Tamandua tetradactyla: one gene and its partner. The protein of the gene in region 1 interacts with the protein of each later gene in a biochemical or structural test. Links are inferred from orthologs where the notes say so. Each region holds a gene or a part of one and is shown in the gene's direction. Other genes may lie near its edges. The genes, in order: RANGAP1 and USPL1.

The links.
Region 2: of the proteins of RANGAP1 (region 1) and USPL1, one has a biochemical effect on the other in vitro, tested with the Homo sapiens proteins (2 studies listed by BioGRID). The link is inferred for Tamandua tetradactyla from reciprocal best matches to the Homo sapiens genes RANGAP1 and USPL1.

The regions. Positions count from the first base shown.
Region 1 is NC_135333.1:34,450,796-34,461,016, reverse strand, and holds the start of RANGAP1 (ran GTPase-activating protein 1), read left to right. Parts: upstream 1-6,108; 5' UTR 6,109-6,224; coding exon 6,225-6,309; intron 6,310-6,492; exon of another isoform or gene 6,493-6,558; intron 6,559-6,641; coding exon 6,642-6,782; intron 6,783-10,221. UniProt on the Homo sapiens protein: GTPase activator for RAN. Converts cytoplasmic GTP-bound RAN to GDP-bound RAN, which is essential for RAN-mediated nuclear import and export. Mediates dissociation of cargo from nuclear export complexes containing XPO1, RAN and RANBP2 after nuclear export.
Region 2 is NC_135330.1:195,668,175-195,678,067, forward strand, and holds the start of USPL1 (SUMO-specific isopeptidase USPL1), read left to right. Parts: upstream 1-5,761; 5' UTR 5,762-5,905; coding exon of another isoform or gene 5,906-5,908; intron 5,909-9,893. UniProt on the Homo sapiens protein: SUMO-specific isopeptidase involved in protein desumoylation. Specifically binds SUMO proteins with a higher affinity for SUMO2 and SUMO3 which it cleaves more efficiently. Also able to process full-length SUMO proteins to their mature forms.

The DNA.
Region 1 (10,221 bases):
TGCTGAGCCACTGTAGCCCACCCCAACAAGGGATCTTAAATTAAGGTTTTGGGAAGGGCTCTGAAGAGATCTGCACAACTTGAGGTTTTTGGTTCTTTTGTCCTCACCTGTAAACTGGGGATCATGGGAGTTTTTATCCCAAGTGGCAGAGAAAGGATGAAATGATGCCAGCAGAGTGCTGGGTATATGCATGTGTGAACTAAAAAATAAATTAAAAACATATTCTTCCTAACGAACGGTCCAAAGATTCAGGTTTTCAAAGGTGAGGGTGACATTAAAAGAAAGAGAGAGAGAGAGAAAGAGAGAGAGAGAGAGACCAGGAAGAACCAATTTAAAGGGTGAGATAGGCCAGCCACTAATTTATTATGATGCAGTAGATGAAATGCAGGTGATAATGGTCACTTTTGTCCCCACCATGTTATTATGAAAATACTCAAACATACAGAAAGTTGAAAGAAGTGCATGATGAACAACCCACATGCCGTAGATTATTCTACAATTAACACCTTGTTATATTTGCTCTATCACATATTTATCCACCCATGCATCCACCCATCCACCCATCCACCCATCCACCCATCCACCCATCCACCCATCCACCCATCCATCCATCCTGCAGAATATTAACAGTGGCTATAAATCTGGATACTGGGAATAAAGATAAAATTAAACTTTAGCTTTTACTCTATAATATTTTGCTTTTGTACAGTTTTTTTAATGACTGTGTCAGTTTTCGTTTAAAACATAAAATTATTTCCATTTTGAAACAAACGAATTATTAAAAGAGAAGATAATCTGCCAAAAGCCGTTGGCACCAGGAAACTCTCCAAAAACATCATTTAGACAGGAATTTAAGCTTCTCCAGGGACTCTGTCATTTTCTATCTTGTTCATCATTGTATTTTCATCAGCCTGGCACATAGTAGATGCTCCATAACTATTTGCGCAATGAATGATTTATTTTAATTTTGTTATTTAGCAAGGTAGGAAAAAAAAATGTGTGTTGGATGTAGAGCCATAGGCTTGAACCCAGGGGGAATGTGGTTTGAATGTAGTTAACAGATGATGTAGTGGCCCCCTTCTTTGCCCCTCCTCCCCTACAGAGGAGGGGACCCTGTGTGAGGCTCCCATGTAATGCTGGTGGGCTGACCCAGCTCTCTCCCAGGAGCCCAAGGTCAGCACCCAGTTGGATCTTGGGAATTTCTCTCCACATTCCTCTCGTGCCTGACATACTTTTAGGCTTTTGTTTTTTATCAGACTAAATGGCAAGTCTGCAGCCTTGGTAATTCTTCAGGAAATCAGCATAAATATTATTTATTCCATTTAAAATTTGCAATTAAGTTCACTGGCATCCACCAGAATGGAATTTAAAGCACTCAGTTAAAGTAAACTAATCAGAGGCAGCCTGCTTTTCTCTTGAAAACATCTTTTAAGAAAACGTTACAACTGGGAGAGAAACATCTGGAGCAGTCTTCCCTTTCTCCCTCTGTACTTGCCTCACACAATATGACTTGTTCTGAGTGTGTTGAAAAGGACCCCAGAGGTCTGGCTTCTACTGTTTGTTTGTTTGTTTTTGTCTAAAGTTACTGTGTAACTTTTGCCAGGTTATTTAACTTCTCTGGTCCTCAGGAAAAGGGTGGCCTAATTCAGTTCTACCCATCCATCCATAAAGGCTGAGTCCACTTCTTGGGCCAGGCAAATAGATCAGGTCTCAGGTGATATCTTGAAAGAAAGTTGGAAAAAGGGAAAGTGAGAAAAAGATGACAAATGTGGTTGTTGGGAAACAAATGATGAATCTGGACTTTTCTGACTCACTGTGCAACGTTGGCAAACCTCCTTCTCTTTAAGTCCTAGTATCCCTACCCATAAAGGAGTTTGAGATAGACTCTAGATTCAGGTGTTACAAACAAAATCTGGATTGCTCAGAGGTGTGGTCAGGCTGGGTTTTTTATTTTTAGCTTTGCACGTGAATGCCTTCAGTCAGAAATTTTCTCTAGTCCTCCACAAGCCCCACCAGGCTTTTTAATAATTCCTATTACCTGCTTGACCCTTGAAGGCCGTTGAGTTTCTGCTAAGAATTCCCTTTCAGTTCTGATAACCCTATCATCTATCTGCTGGATGAAGAAGGGGAAGTTCACCTAAGCAACTAAAATGTTCTATTGCCCATCTTCTTCTCTTTGGGAAGTCTCTGTCTTGAGATCCTCAAGTCTCAAGGAGTAAAACCGGAAAACGGAGACTGGAGATTACCCCAAGGAAAATCCAGACTGATTTTGATCAATCTTAGCTGGAATCGGCGCAGAAACAGCATCAAACCTAATTGGGAGTGCTTGTTCTGATGGCAAACATCAGATGACCCTGACAGGAATCCTCAAATGAGGAAACCCAAAACATCAGTGATGCCAGGCCCAAAGGGGATGCAGCTCAGGTGGATACAGTGCCTGTTCTCAGAGGCCCTCCCAGGCTAGGTAGGAAGCTAACTCTGACTGTGGGAAAGCTCTCAGAGCCATGTGCCAACTACTGTGGGGACTCAGAACTGGGCGAGACTAATTCTGGCTGCAGTGGTTTAGGAAGGCCTTCAGGATGAGGGGGAATTGACATGGACTTTGCAGGCAGAGGAGAGGGAGGGGAAGCAATCTGGTGTGGGAAAGAGGACACATGGGGCAGGTGTCACCTCTAAGCAGCTGTTTGAACCAGGGATGTCACATTAGGTCTGGAGAGTTAGCTTTCTCATCTTGATGCTGGGAAGGCTGGGAAAATGCCCACTTCCTGTGTGGTTGTAAAGATTAAATAAGCTATGTGTGCAAGAATCTGGCACATAATATACTTAACTGAATTGCAGGTAAAGCAAAAGCATATGTGTAGGCTGGATTGTGAGAGGTAACTGGAAAAGAAGGTTGCATATGTTGACAGTTATTATCTCTAGATGCTTAGGTTTCAGGTGAGGTTTACTTTTTTTTCTCCTATTCTATATTGGTTGAATTGTTTATAATGAATACATGTTTTTAATATAATGGTTAAAAAGCTGTTTATAAAAAACAAAAGCTATTTGCATTTTTATACTTTAAAAAAAGTTGCAAAGAACTCCCGTATACTGGATTTATTAATGTTTTGCCACATTTGCTTTACCTTTCTCTATGTATACATATACATGTACATATACATTTTTTTCTCTGAACCATTTGAGAGTAAGTTGCAGACATCATGCCTTTGTCCCTAATTATTTCAGCATCTGTTTCCAAAGAACAAGGACAGTCTCTAACATAACCTAGTCCAATACTCAACATCAGGGTATTTAACTTTGATACAATTGTATTATCTAATGTACAATCAGATTTTGCTAATAGTATCAATATTGTCTCCTATGACAATCTTCCCAGGATCCAATCCAGGATTACGCATTGCATTTAGTCGTGTCTTTTTACTATAATCTGCAAGGGTTCCTGTTTTTCTGCCCTTCATGATATATTTTTGGAAGAGTACAGAAGAGTTTTTCTGTAACAAGTTTCCTCAAGATTAATTTTATGCATTGTTGACAGGATAGTCATGCCGTGTCCGTCTCAATGCATCACATCATGAGGCGTGGGGTGTCGGATGATAACTTTAATTACTTGGTTAAGGTGGTGTCCGCAGAGTTTCTCTACTATAGAATTATTATTACCCCTTTTTGATTACCAAGTAATGTATGGCTATTTATGAAGAAGACTTCGAATGCCCTTTAAATTCAATGAGACGAAAAAACACGAGTTTTTTCTTTCAGGAAATGGATACTTGATTTCTTGCTGAGGAGATTTAGCAGCACGGCTTCGGAAGTACCAGCCGTTATCAATAAAGTTACGTGAAGATAAACTTTCCGGAAGGGCTGGGACAGCCGTGCTGCACGGCATTAGGGGAATTGTAGTCTCTCTGCGCGCTTCCGGTTAAGCACCGTCCCGTGGCCTGCCCGAGAAAGAGCCAGACGTCGAAATGGGAGGACGACGGCTGTGGCACTCTGGAGGGCGGTGCGTCACGGTACTTGTAGTTCACAGTATGCGCCCCTGCCATGTAACTCCGGGCCCCGCGCAGAAGGACTGGACTACTATACCCGATAGGCCACGCGCGCGGGGGGCAGGGGAAGCCGGCCTGGGCCTCGAACAAATCAAATCGAAGGCAAGAAACTGCCGGCTTTCAAAATCCTCCTCCTCCGCCATCATCCACCGCGGTGTGGGGAGCAGGTGGTGTCTGCGACGTGAGTGACGAGAAGCGCCGGGAGAGCAGACAGCCTAGCGGGCTGAGCATCAAGATCTCTGGGCCCAAAGGCGGCGACCCCGACCTGACCTGACCCGGACCCTAAACCGGTCCCCACCCCGCCGGGCGGACGCGCGTGTTCGGTTCGCCCCACGCGGCGGCGCTGCCTGTTTACGGTAGGGTAGGGGTCCCTTTCCTTTGCCCGTCACCTGCCTAGGGGCGGAGGGAGCGGCCCTGGAACTGAGTAAGGAAAGTGTGGCGCCCCTGAGCGCCTGCTGCGTGCCTCCTTGGCGATGTCCCCCGCGTCTGCGATTGCCAAGCTCGGAGGTGGGGGGTGAGAGGCGTTTGTGCCTTTCTCAAATGGGGAAGCTGAGGCATAGAGAGGATGTCAAATTCTCTGGAGCCGCCCAGTCCATGCCTGCCAGCTGTGGCGTCTCATGTTGGCATCTGTGGCTTCTGGAGGCGGTGCGAGTCTTCCGGGAATCTCGGATGAGGCTCCCGCGCTGCCCGCCTGTCATTTATGGCCTGCAGTCGCGCGTCGCTCTCCCATCACTGACTCCCAGTAGGCCCACAAAGTCTCCGATGCTCCTGCAGAGGAGGGGCTGTCTTGACTCTGCCGCTAACCCCTTGCTGACCTAGGAGAAACAAATTTACATCTCTGTGTTTCGGGTTTTTTGGTCTTTAGAGTTAATTGGGGCGGTGGGAAGGTGACTGGAGGAGTGGACCCCCTTCAGCTGAGAAGCTGCATCCCTGTTCCATCTGGAGGCTCCACCACCACTTTTGTAGCCTCAAATTGTCCCACACCAGAACTGCAAGAGGTGGTAGGGTTTAGGTTAATTTTTATTAAGTTTCACTCCCTCATTCTTTGAGCACCTTCTAAATGCCAGGCCTTGTGCACAGATAGAGTGATCCTGTCAAAGCATTCCCCAGTTCACAGCTCTTCTCTACTAGAAACTTTCCACTGTCTCTTGTCATTCAGAGAAAAAGCCATGGTCCTTAAAATGGCTTTATGATACCCCGTCCCCCTTAGCTCTCTGTTCGTTCTTACCTCCTTTCTCCCTCCTTCACTGTGCTCTTCGCTTAGCGCCCTCTGGTCTCCTTGCAGTTCTCCAACACCCCCCTCCCGGCGAGAGCCTTTGCCTTTGCTATCCCCTTTTGTGGGAATATTCTTCACCCAGGTGGCTGCAGGCCCCAATCTCTGACACACTTCAGGTCTTTATTAGTTGCCTCCTTCCTAACAATACCTTCTCTAACCATTCTACTTTAAACAACCAAAAAAAAAAAAAAAATCCTTCTTTACTCTCTTCCCCATTGATTTTTCTTATCATTAATGTACTAAACATCTGCTTCAGGAAGATGTTTGTCTGTTATTCTCTGCTGTACTCATGGTACCTGGAAAAATGTCCAACCTGTAGTAGTACTCAATAAATGTTTTTTGAAGGAATGAATGCTTATACTCAATGAATAAGTCAGGCTTATTATTAAAGACAGACAGACAAACAAACCAGGGTTAGAAGGGGAGAAAACATTGGACAGTTGTTTGGTTGAGCCCAGAGAAAGCCTAGGGAAGTGGAAGAATGGGGGAGCTCTCATAGCTGCCTCTTGAGGATGAGTAGATTGGGGGAGGAGACAGTCTACATAAAAGGAGTCTCTCTAAGCACCTCCTAGTTCTGTTCCCCATATCAGCAGTCTTCCTTGGTCTCCCCTGATTACCTGCCTGTACCCCTTTGGTAAAGTGGAGTTGTCCTTTCTTGCTGGTCTACTGAGCTCCAGGTAGGAAACCCCTACCTGGTAGGAAACCGCTACCTGGTAGAGTTTTCTGGCAACTCTACCCCTGACCTATTGTGATGGTGCTATTGTGATGTAGAGATCTCTGGTCTCCTAGAAACTCTGAGGTCTGACCACCATGGACTGCAAGGTTGAAACCAGCCAAGCAGTGGGCCAACCCCTGTGCCCCACCCCCAGAGTCATGCCAGCGTGGGCGGTGAGGCATTCCCTGGGATGGATGACCTGGACCCCATAGCCATCTATGTCCTGTTTGAGGAATGGGACCCTCAAACAGAGAGCAGCCAAGATGATCAGGCAGGTATGTGATTGGATCAGACTCTTTGCATCATGTAGCCTTGCTAGGTGCTCCTAGCTGGAGCAATTGGGCCGAGCAGGACTTATAGTGAGATAGTAACTCTTTAGCGGTGAAACATGGTTTTTCTACTTTAAGAGAGTAAAACATGATTTATCTATTTCTTTGTTACCTCTTTCCCTTTTCTAGAACTGTTCTTCCTTGATGCTGTTTTCATCTCTCAGTGGTGTAGCTCTTAGGGTCTTAATAGCAGGGGTAAGTGAGATCAGACCCCTGAGATGGTTGATTCCCACCCACCCCCTCAACCAGGTATCTTAATGCTACTTCTGCCTCTTCAGTTTACAGATCTCCAGGGGACTCCACCATCATGGCCTCCGAAGACATTGCCAAGCTTGCAGAATCACTGGCCAAAACCCAGGTGGCCGGAGGACAGCTGAGTTTCAAGGGCAAGAGCCTTAAACTCAACACAGCAGAAGATGGTGAGTGCCTGGACGGACTTGTTCAGGGGAGGAAAGGGAGTGTGTGAATGAACACTTAAAACTTTTCCTATTTGTCAGGCATATGTGGCTGCAGCAACTCTATTATGTATCCAGTAGGCCTATTCTAATGATCAGGCTCAGAGACATTAACGATTTACCCATGAGCTTGTGCAGGCTGCCCTACTCTCTTCATGCTTGTAGTGACAGCTCAGGCTGCCAGATGGGCAAAGCCTCTTTACCTCTCAGAGGGAGGAATGGTAGGTTATAAGGGGCCACAATTAATCGTGGTCCCAAGATTTAGCTCTGACTTCTGACATCAGATCTGGTGTTCTTTCTACCCCCATTTTCACTTCCTGGGAACATCAGCTGTTGTCCATGTCGAGGTACAAATAAGCAGCACCTCAGGCCCTCCTGGGAGTCTGGTCAGTGCTCCCAGATACCTTGAGAGAGGCATGGATGTCCATGTCTCTGTGGAGGGCATTGGGACTGCAGAGAATGCAGACCCTGTCTTTCCCCACCCCTAGCCTAGGCATGGCTGGCGCTGACCAACCCTGAATTCCCTGGTGTCTAGAACAGAAGATGCTGATGTCAATGCTTGTAAGACCTCTTGGGGTTTTGCCTCAAACAGGGAAACTGGTCTGGACTTGCCTGGTTGTCACTGTGAGCAGGTGGGCTTGCTCACCTCCCCTGGGTCAGAGTCCGTGGGTTGCTGGGAGTGTGGTGATGCACATTACATTCCTAACATCTCTGTAGGGCCTTAGAGTTCACCAAGCATCTCTCTCTGCTTTCATCACATCGTCCCTGTGGGAGGTAGGAGGAAATGCTGCTTTGTTAATTAGGAAAAAAGACTTGGGAGACTTAGGTAACTTGCCCTAGGTCCCACAGCTGGTTAGTAGCAGAGCCAGCATTTTAACATAGGTCCTGTGCTTCTCACTGGATGTTGAGCTCAGTTCAGTAACCATGGTCTTGCTATAAAATGCCATCTATTAAACACTTACTCTGTGTCAGGCAGGGTGTTAGGGACCATACAAATAGTACCACTGTTTATCCTCACAAAAGCCCTTGAGGTATAGGCTTCATCTTCATTTTGTAGATTGGAAAACAGGCTCACGGAAGTTGTCAGACTTATCTGAGGGCATAGCTGGTAAGTGCGGAGCTGGGGTTAGTACTTAAGTTTGTCTGACTCTGAACTTTATGGAGGTAACCTCTTCACCACATCAGCATGGGCTGAACTTGGTACTTGCTTTCATAGGTCACCAGGAGTACCCAGATTGCCCTCAATGTGGAAAGGAAATGAGGTACTGAAGTGACTAACAGGAAGCAGAATGTGAAACGTACTCTAAGAGACATAAACAAAGGACTTTGGAAACTAAGGGGAGAGAGCTCACTTTTAGCTTAGGAGGGTCTGGACAGTATCCATGGATGAGATTTGAACTGTCATGAAAGGATGATTTGAAGGAGAATCGTTACTCCAAACAGGGAGAATCGCATTGATTAAGGTCCAGAAACTAAAACAAGTAGTGTGGGTTTGGGAGAAGTGAACTCTGTTAGTTGTCAGAACCCCATAGGGATCCCAGGGCAGAGGCCCTTGAATACTGTACTGAGGAACCTGGGGTTCAGTTTTGGGCCTACGATTCACCTTGATGCTGATTGTGGCTGATAGCCGGTGGTGATCCAGGAGGGCAAATGCCTGTGTGAAGGGGCCCTGAAGTTGATGATTATAATGAGACCCTGTTCTCTCTGCAGTAAGTCATGGAAAGATCAAAGAGGCTTTCTGCTTTACCTGTCAGGATAACAATCCTCAGGAACTTGTTAGTCTGTGATGTGGTACAGGCTGAAAAGAGAAATTCCTGCCAAACAGCTTCGTAACAATTGGTTGTTCAGGAGTGACTGGGGCCCATCCCTAACCTATTGTATAGGCCATACAGTCTTTAAATTATGCATTACTCCATTTGAATCGAAAACCAAAGGAGAAAAGCAAACCCACTTACGACCCTATTGTTCTCCTGTCCCTGTTTTGTTATGTTTCCTAATAGACTTGCTCTGTAAGTGTGACTTCCCCTGGGCTGAAATTGTAGGAAGCATGGTACATGTGCATCTGTGTGTTTAAGGTACTTTCACAGCTTAGGTTTTTCCTTGGGGCCCTGGCATCTGACACCTGGTCTTTGGGGACTGTATAAACATTCTATTTTCTCTCGCCTTGTTGACCTGATCAGTACTCAGGGGTTAGAAGGTGTTCTAGTTTGCTAGCTGCCGGAATGCAACACACCAGAGACGGATTGGCTTTTAATAAAAGGGGATTTATTTTGTTGGTTCTTCAGAGGAAAGGCAGCTAACTTTCCACTGAGGTTCTTTCTTACGTGGAAGGCACAGGATGGTCTCTGCTGGTCTTCTCTCCAGGCCCCTGGGTTCCAACAACTTTCCCCGGGCCGACTTCTTTCTGCATCTCCAAAGGTCTGGGCTGAGCTGCAAGTGCTGAGATGAGGAATGCCGAGCTGCTTAGGCTGTGCTACATTGCGTTCTCTCATTTAAGCACCAGCCAATTAAGTCAAACGTCACTCATTGCAGCAGACACGCCTCCTTGCTGACTGCAGATGTAATTAACAACAAATGAGGTTCACGTACCATTGGCTTATGTCCGCAGCAACAAAACTAGGTATGCTCACCTGGCCAAGTTGACAACTGAATCTAACTAACACAGAAGGGGCTCCCTTTTGGTGTGGGTCTCCCAAGGAGTTGAGAGGTCATCCCTGTCCTTGCCCTAAGTACACTGCAGAGGAGGCCTGGGAAACCAGGACCCTGAAGTTGCAGGTCCAGAGTGGCCCCAGGAAAGGGGAGTGGTGGTTGGTTTTGGAGCTTCTATACTAGCATGAGGGGCTCATGAAGTCATTGGTTGAGAAGCAAGGATTTGGGGAAGAACATATAGATGCCCTTTTGAAAAACCAGTCTGAAGCCTAAATGTGCCATTTTCCCACACCTCCTAGGAAGAGTTATGTCATTCCTTGAAATTTCAGTTTCTACTAGAAATTCAGGAAGCTTAAATGCACTCAGCCTTCCTTGTCGTGAAATGAGAACTGGAAAAGGTGTCAGCCACCACTTTCTGACTATGTGACTTAGTGGCATTTACCCCTGCCCCCCTGCTGTGTTTGTTTACTCAGTTCTAACATGGACATGATCATGACTCCTTTATTAGGTGGTGCTGGGGAATGTATGAATTAATATATCATACAGGTAAAGTGCTTTTCAGCTGTAAAATTATTGGTTATTAGTCTGGGTGCTAATCTTGGCAGAGCTCAGTCCCTTGGCTCCTGGAGCTCACACCTGCAGAGGAGGATGGTATTAATGAAGTCACCGTATGATAACAAAGGAGTCATTTAACAGATGTGAGAGTGTAACCATGACTCAAACTACAGATGAGCGACCCGAGCCTGTGTAACCC
Region 2 (9,893 bases), on another chromosome or scaffold:
TCTGTATGGTATATTAATCCCATTTTACAGATGAGGAAATAGGTTCAGATAAACGAATGTCACAAAGATTGTTGATATGATTGAAACCCACATCTGGTTCTGTGGCTTGCCTGCTGAGCGTCTGCAGGTCAAACTGTTAGTGCTAAGCTTTAGTTTCATTTAGAAAAGAAGGATAATAATGGCATCTATTTTTGATAGCACTGTGTGAGCTTTAAGTACAGTAATCCACAGACATAACTGTGGTGGAGGCAGCAGAATATGGCGCAGTTTCTGAGAGGAGGCCTTAAGGGGCCCCCTGGAATAAGCCTGCCACCAGGTAAAGAGTCCTGAGGGGAGCTGGTGTGGCGAGGAGAGGCAGGCCTGGCTTACAGCAGCACCAAGACCACGGGCATGTCAGCAGAGCCAATTTAGGCCCTTCAACCCAAGCAGCTGCATGAGTAGGCCCAGGTGAGACCAGCAGAAGAACTTTCTGGCCTCCCATAGAATCATGAGAAATAAAATAAAATATTTTTTTAAGTTTGGGGGTGGTATACTGCACAGTCAATAGTTGGCTACTACAGTTAGACTAATAAATGTTAGTTTACAATCTCAAATTAAAAGTATAAGAATGAGAGGAAAAGAACACTTCATACTCCATAGTTCAATAGATTTTTTCCTCCAAAGATCTCCAAGTTTGAAGACATGATTTTTTGAATGCATAAAAATTTAAATAACCTTAGTAGCTATATGCACAGCCATAGCCAGCAGGTTTCATTTGTCGGCAGTAATCACTTCCACAAGCCCCGAGGAAAAACAAGTGCTTTTGCTTAAACCAGACAGGGAAAGTGTCCTAAAATGCCCATGGTTCACTTGGTTTTCCTGGTTTTAATGAAACACTTCAGCAGTCTCCTTTCTTTTCCCTCCTTCGTTTTTCTCTGTAGCATTTGTTAGGGAATTTTCTTAGTTTATCAGACTACATTTCAAGGCTTTCCTCCAATTGTTATATGTTTTCTCTCATTTTCCCCATATTTATTGATGACTTTCAAATCTATATGTACAGTACGGATTCCCTCTCCTGAGATCAAGACTCATCTCTACCAAGGATGTGGAGTGTCCTCCTGGAGGTCCTGCTGTCATTTCAGAATTAATTATTTGCTCCACTCTTCTCCTGCTCCTTCATGCTAATACCCTTTCTCTCCTTTTACACGACCTATCGAAGTCCTATTTAGGCACTGCTTTTTCTGGGAGATCCTTCCAGACTCATTGAGGCTGGGTTAGGTGTAAGCCTATCTTAAGGGTCCTAGGCTGGGTGGGGTGCAATTTTAGCACTTACCTTGGTACTAAATATAGATCATTGCAATTGTAGGGTGCATCTCACCATTCAGTCAACAAATATGTCAGATTCTGTGACAGGGTACCAAAAACTGGAGGCTTAAAAGAACAAAAACATATTGCCGCATAATTCTGGAGGCTAGAGGTCCGAAACCAAGGTGTTGGCAGGCCCGTGCTTCATCTGAAGACTACCCTAGAGAGGAATCTGTTCCCCATTCCTTTCCTGGCTTCTGGTGGTGGACTGCCAGTAATGTAGGGCTTTCTCTTCCTCAATCATTCCATGGCATTTTCCCCTCTTCTGGGCCCAAATTTCCTCTTTTCATAATGACACCAGTAACACTGGATGAAAGGCCCCCCTTTTCCAGTTTGACCTCATTTTACCTTGCCTACTTCAATCTGTAATGGCCCTACTCTCAAATATGGCTAAATTCTGAGATAATGGGGAGTAGGACTTTTAACATATCTTTTTGCAGGACATAATTCAATCCATGCCAGGTGGTGAAAGACACAACAAAGAAGAATAAATCAGGGTAAAGGGTTGCACCCACCTAGGGGAAGGGATGCTCTTTTCAAACTGCATAGATTTCACAGACTTAAAGATTTGACCCTAGTGGGAAAGCCCAGGAGGGCTCTGAGAAAAGGAGTGACCTGATGTGATTTATGCTTTAAATGATACACTGACTGCCAGATAGAGAATGATCTGTAGGGAGGCAAGGAAGGAAGCAGGAAGAACAGGAGAATATCGTTATAATCCAGTGGTCCTTGACTGAATTTTCCTTCCTAGATTTTGCTTCCCAGAGAATATCTGGTCAAGTCTGGAGACATTTTTGGTTATCAGAACTGGGGCTACAGGTCATTTGTATCATGCAAGTAGAGACAAGGATGGTGCTACAGACCCAAGAGAGAGGACAGCCTCCTACCTGGTCCAAAACATCAGTGGTGCTGATCAGGGTTGAGAAACCCATCTATAATCTGAAATAGAATGGTGGGTTGGATTAAGATGGTAGTCGTGGGAGCTAGAGAAGTGGTGAGATTCTGAATATATTTTGAAAGGAGAGCTGACTACATTAAATGTAAATGGAGGAAAAAGAGGCTCTCTGCCAGAGCAATCAGAAGAATGCAGTCTTCATACTGAGACGAAGTAGGAAGACTGCAGGAGTTGTAGGGAAGAAGTAGATGCTTTGTTTTCTTTGGGGGTGGACAGAAATGGTTAACCAGAATCAAGAATTCAGTTTTGGACATACTAAGTTTGAAATGCCTCCATGACATCTCTGGTAGTTTGAAGCTGTATGCACCCCAGATAACATGTTCTTTAGCTTAATCCATTTCTGTCGGTGTGAACCCGTTGTAAGCTGGATTTTTTGATGAGTTTACTTCAGTGAAGGTGTATCCCACCTCAAAGGATGGGTCTTACCCTATTACTGAAGTCCTTGATAAGAGAATGAAATTCAGAGAGAGAAAGCTGGGAAAGCAAGAAGGTGAAAGCAACAAAACCCAGAAGAGAAGAGAGAGAACAGCAGACACCACCATGTGCCTTGCCATGTGGCAGAGAGCCAAAGATTGCTGGTGGCCAGTATCCAGGAAGAAAGCATCATTTTGGTGATACCTTGATTTGAACATTTTCCTAGCCTCAAAATTGTAGCCTAATAAAATCCCATTGCTTAAGTCAACCCATTTCATGGTATTTTGCTTGGAATGGCCAAGGAAACTAAAACAACCTCCAAGTGAATATATCAGGTAGGCAGCTAAATCCATGAGTCTGAAGTTCAGGGCTAGAAATATAAGGATGGAATTTTGAGCATCTATGGCTATAGGACAGGATAAGATCACTTAGGCAGTCAAGGAAAACTGCAAAGAGCACTGAGGACTGAGCCCTAAGGCACTTAAGAGGAGGAGGCAAAAGACAGGAGAAGCCATGGAAGAGGAGGAGAACAGAGTAGGAGAGAATGATCAACTGTGTCAAATGCTGAGAGGTCAAGTCCAAAGGGGATTCAGAACTGACTACCAGATAATGCAACATGGAAGCCAGTGCTGATGTACAAATGAGCAGTTTGGGTGGAGAGGAGAAATGAAAGCCTGACTGGTATGGATTCCAAAGGAGAGCAGAGACAGCAACTATATACAATGATAGACACTTGAGGTCTTATGCTATAAAGTGGAGTATAGTAACAGGATTATCTGGAAGACTGCCCCTTCCAACTTATTTTATACACAGAAAAGCTGAAAGAATAGCATGACAACTATCCTTGTATCTATTGTCTAGAGTCAACATTTGTTAACACTGTATTATATGTGTTTTACCTATACATGCTTATGTGTATACATATATCTATTTTTCTGAATTATCTGAAGATAACTTCACTCCTAAATATACTTCAAATATATCTCCTAATAATAAGATCACCCTTCTAAATAACCATATAGTCACCAACACACTCAGGAAAATTAAAAATATATCCCCAAATATTTTCTATGTTTGGGAATATTGAAATTTCTCTAAAATATATATTTTTTAATGCTGTACGGTGGAGGGCACATTTCATTCTTTTTCTATGTGAGTATCTCCTTATTGTGGCACCATTTGCTGAATTTTTATTTTGGTTTTTCATTTGGCTCCCACATGGCAGGCAAGAATTCTACCACTGAACTTCTCTTGCCCTCCCCCACCCCCCGAAATGTATTTTATGGTAGTAGTTTAAAACCCAAAATCTACTCAAGGTCCATGTGTTGTATTTGGTCATCAGGTTTCTTTGTTCTCTTTTAATGACAATGACTTTTTAAAAAGACCAGTCTTACAGAACATTCTACCTTTTGCATTTGACTGATTCCTTGTCATGCCATTGAACTTGTTCTTCTACCTTAGAAGCGGAATTTCTGAGGTTAGTGAGTGTATTTATTATTCCCAGCACAAGATCTTAAAATGAACATTTTTTAACTTTCCTATACCTCCTGTCCTTTCATTTTCAGAAAATCCTCAATCTTTTCAAAGTTTATTCCTTTCACCCACCACTTCTTATTAGCTCTGAAGACTCAAGTGAGCAACTTCTAAGGTTTACATATTCTACATTCAGAAAAAAAAATGTACTACCACCTCTCATTGACCGTAAGACTTCATAGGTGATCACACCTTAAAACCAAGTGTGATTCTATTGATTAATCATGACAAATTACATTTCAAAAGTTAAGATGAATTTCCCGAAATTTCCTTTCTGATGAGCAAAATAGTGCCTCCTAATACTTGAGGGTGAAAGCTGTCATCAATATGCCTACATGACTGGACACTATGACAGGCAGATGAGTTAACAGGGTTTGGAACATACTTTCTTCTCCCTTTGTAAATACCTTAATGATGAACTGGTTATACTAGCATCTGAGCTTCTTCAACTTTTCATTCATGTATCTAGTTCTTTAAGCAACTTAAAAGCAAACTGATTCAACAATGTGTGTGGCTAGAACCCAAAAGAATATTTAGGCATTGCCAATTTATCTTCAAACATTTCCTGCCATAATCTTGAAATTATTCTCTTTCCCATAGTGTTGAAAAGCATTAAAAATAAAGGACGAATGAATTTTATACTCTTTAATTCACTGAACATTTCAAGTTCCTTCTTAACATTGTTGTTTTACAAAACCTAAAATTACTTAGCACACTACATGCAATATAAATTATATTCATAACCATTTTAGTTCCCTTACTTGGACTCCTTTAATCTTTTGGCATTAAAATGTTAAGCTCCTGTTTGCTTACTCAGAGTGATGTCTTCCATCTCTCTGGGCCTATGGACTAATTCTGTGAGGTAAATGATCACCTTAGCCATCGATTCCACCTCATTCTGATTACCACTGCAAAAACCTCCCTTGAAGAAATCAGAAGATGGGACTCAGACTTTACGAGGCACCTCCCAGGAGACCACAAGTAAATTATTAATACATTCTAAAATCAAAATTGTAGTTATTATCACCTAGTTAAGTCTGCCTGTAGATCCACTGAACTTTCCTGGACGATCTGGAAGATCATGCAAACCAGCAGTCCCTGACCACCCTGGTAAACCGCTGACTCAGGGACTGAGCTGGGCAGGAAGGAGGGGCCGGTAGTAGAGAATAATCCTCTGGACACATTCTCTCAACTTATTCTCCAGCTAGGAAACCATACATAATATCTCTACAAAAATAAAATTATTTCAGAAACCACCTTTAATATTTTAGTAATTTTAACAGGATATTATATCATCGAGTTGTTTCCTCCCCTAAGAAGCAAGGTGAGGTACAGGCTAAATACTTGTGGAAGCCAGCCTTCAAGACAGCACCAACCAACCCTGTCCTGGTCGTCACACCCTTGAAGGGGTCCCTCCCACGGGCTCCAGGGGTTGGTATGTGCAACCCACAGACCATGGCAAAGTGAAGGTATGTCACTTCTGAGGTGAGGTCATAAAAGGCACATAGTTTCTGCCCTATTCTCTGGGAGAAAGCCAGCTGCCATGCTGTGGGAACCCTAGGGCAGTCTGCAGATGACTGCAGCCCACAGGCGTCTCAACCACAACCTCATGAGACCCTCAAGCAACTCCTGGATGCTTGCCCAGTGAAACTGTGCAGAATGGTAAGTGTTTATTATTTTAAGCTGTTTGGGGGTTAGTAAAAGTTAACTAATATAATTTATACTGAAAAAAATCTACTTTTCAATAACCTTTCAATACCTTCCATGACCTTTCATTTAAATATTTAAGAAGTCCAAGAATATACCTATTGAGCACTGTGAGGATATGAAAGCTCCTTCATACTCCACATGAAACTTCCTGAGTGTAATATTCATAACTGACCTCTCTCACCCTCACCAATTCCCTCCTAGGGTAGGAGCAGGTAAGGGATCTGATGGCAAATTTGGGAGAAGAAAGTATGTACCCCGGCCACATCCTTCCTCCTTTCCATTTGGGACCTGGCTGACTGAGGAGGGCCATTTGTTCTGGTCTGGTATATATGGTGGATAAGCTCTACCCTTGTAGACAGAGAAGCTGAGGTTTAAATCTGCCTACTTCTGGAGTGCAGTATTAGGAAGCTCATTGTTGCTGCAAACCGAAACCACATTTCCAAACGACTTTTTTTGGTAATTAAACTAACACTTTAATCTTCATGTGTTTGACTACTGCATCATTTTATAACTGGATCCAAATTTAGACAGAGGAAAAGACATGGACATTACTTATTAACCCCCAAACAAAGAACCAAGCACTATGATGGGTATTTTGTGCTCTTGTAGAGGTTACAGTGTATTTGGGATGAAAAACAAAACAGCCAGAGGGCTACATAGTAACCTAAGAACTACCTAACGAATATAAACTATAAGAAGCACACGATTATGAACAAGCAGGTGAGAAACTGTGGACACTCCATCTTTGGTTAGCATTAGAATATCTGCAAGTACAAGGTAAAAATATAGGTGCCTGGGTCTGCAGAAGTAGGACCCACACAATTGCATTTTTCCCAGTATAATCCGACCTATACCAATTTAGGAACCAGTGGTATACATGGTAAATTCCATGACTTTGGAAAATAGAAGACTGCTGTGAGCTAGCAGTGACAGCCCACAGAATTTGAAGTGAACTGTAATGGACAAGCAAGAGGAAAAGGGGAAAGCAATAATTGCTGCAAGCTTATGAACTGCAAGACACTGTTCTACATACTACCTCACTGAAGATCATTTCATTTTATATATGGAACTGAGGCTCAGAGAGGTTAAATAGTTTGCCTGAAATGCCACAGAAGTGGTATCAATAGATGTTTTCATTTTATAGGTAAAATTGAGCAGTAGCAGAATTGGGATTAATAAATGGCAAATTTGAAATCAGGTCTGTGAATCTAAAGCCTATATATTTTTTCCCTCCTTTTTTCCCTAAAGTAGAAGGAGGTCTGTGTTGCTTAGGAAAACACACAGACGGAAGAAAGCACAAATAAACTTTCAAAAGATCAGATTGGACCCATCAAAAAAGCAATCTACACTCTTAAATTGTGATGTCAGTGAACAGTACATTAAAGACAAATCACATGCTTAAAAAGCACTTTAAAAAAATGTCTATTTTCAATATTCAGTGGTTTTGACTTAACTGATTAGTTTACTAAACAACTCTTAACTCCAATAAGCCATCAGTCAAATCCAACTGTTAGAGTGAACTCATAACAACTAGCTGGAAATTACCAACATAGTAAAAGCCGCCAAACTGATTTTAGGGTTAGTCTCAAATTTAGAAGTGCAATGTTTAAGGCCAAACTAATTTTATTTATAACTGAGATTTTTAAAGATGGCTTTATGATAATGCTTTATAAGAATCCTTTGTGGTCAGTATTGCCATTTTAAGGCTTTAAAAAAATGAAGCTGAACATTCATTCACCTCTATTCTCTACAGGGACTTCTGCTCTTTTTTTTTTATTTTCAAAACCAAAGTCAAAATCCACTGTGTGCTCTTCCCACAATTAATCATTTTTTCCTCTGTTGCTCCTACAGAACATTGCATGTAAATCTTACTTAGCATTTTATGTCATTGTTGTGCCTTGTATGGAAGCTGTTCACAAATATTTCTACTTGCTTTAGGGATAAAGCCTATGCCTTATTCACCTTTGCATTCCCTAGAATTTAGCACATTGCCTTGCACAGTCAATAAAACTTGATGAAGAATGTTTAAAATTTTCCTCAATAAGATGAACATATCAAATATGAACTAATAGATATGAGAACATGAGGGAAATATGCTGTTGAAAACATTTCCCTTCAGAGTGGATCTGGTCAGCCATGTCAACTGGAAATTGGGAACCATCAAGGTCATTCATTCATTTACTCAACAAGTATGTGCTATGTACCAGGCACTGCATCTACAATGGCAAATGAAATAGCTGTACTGCATGCCCTCACAGAGCTCACAGCCTAGAAGGTGGACAGACATTAAATAATAAAAATAAAATTAAAAAAATGACTATGTAATTAAAAGCTGAGAAGACTGCTATGAGGAAAACAAACAGCAGCAAGTGGTAGTAGAAAACTAGAGGGGGGTAACAGAGAGTGGTGAGCTCCATCAATAGGGTGGATAACTTGACCCATGACATTTAAGTTGAGGCTTGAAGGATGAGAAGAGCAAATTAGGTAAAGAGAAGGGGAACAGCATTGTCAGCAGAGAGGCCTGAAAAAGACGTCAGGTGTTCCAATGCCAGCTTTAGGAAAACGGTTACCACAGCACATAGCCTGACCTTCGGTATTTCCATTCTTTGTCACTGTTTCTAGCACCACTTTTCCCTTGATGATATGCATGAGAGTTTAAAATTTCCTGGCTATATTAAGTGATAGCATCAACTCTGGGAACATAAGACTATTCATTTCCAAATAATCCTAAATTCCTTCCAGTCTGATGACTCATAAATTCACCTTTAAGTGACAACCATGCCCCAATTAGGAAAGTGTTTCTCTATGTCAGCTTAATTTTTTCTTTGGTGCCCTCCTGATTGCTAATCAACAGGTTGTGTGATTATTTCAAAAATTTCTTATGGAATCTTGTTTTGCCATCAGAAAAATATCCTGGTACTTTCTGAACTCTAGGTTGCTCTAGAATCTAGGCAGACCAAAGTACCTAAACCAATGCCTAACCACTGGGCACACTCAGATCTATCACTAGAGCTCCATATGAACTGGGAGTGTATGTGCTATATTGGGAAAAGTCCAGGAATAGAAATCAGAGCATTTAGGTTTCAGTACCAAGACTGCCACTGTTATGCAAATCTGCGTAACAGTTTACTTCTTTTTTACTTAGTTTTCTCATTGGTAAAGTGAGCAAACAGAGAAGTTGCATTTTAGGCACATTCAACTATATGTGCCTGGTAAAAATTTTAAAAGAAAAAAATCAATTGAAAAAGCACTTGGTGGGCATATACCCTAGGGTGAGCTGAGATGGAATGCACAGATCTGTTGCTCCATCCATCCGTCTCAGTCTTCATATGCCTCTGCTGAAAATCTTGCTCTGCTATAGGATTTTAGTGTTTGAAGATTTATATATTTATTTAGAACAAGATTCACCTGCTTCATGGGGGGGGGCAAATGAAGAAACACCCAGGTGATGTGATTTGTCTCAAAATACTCAATTTAGAATCAAGCAGTATGCTGACTCCAGTACACCACCATATTATACTGGTGTAAGGAACACATAAATTAAAGTAGATGGCATCTTAGAAATACATGGTTTTTTGTTTTTGTTTTTTTGCATGGGCAGGCACCAGGAAATGAACCCAGGTCTCTGGCATGGCAGGCAAGAATTCTGCCTGCTAAGTCACCGTGGTTTGCTCTTTTTTCTTTTCTTTTACATGCATGGGCAGAAACCAGGAATGGAACCCAGGTCTCTGGAACCCATTGACAATTCTGCCATTGACCCACTGTTGTACTGCCTGAAATACATGGTTTTTAAAGTTATTAGTCACTGAAATTTTTTATCAATTATACCACTATTCCAATAGAGCTATGCCATTGTCTACAGCAGATAAATTCATGTATGCAGAACATGATTAATGTACAAATTACGCACAGCACAATGTTTTTCATAAAGATCTGA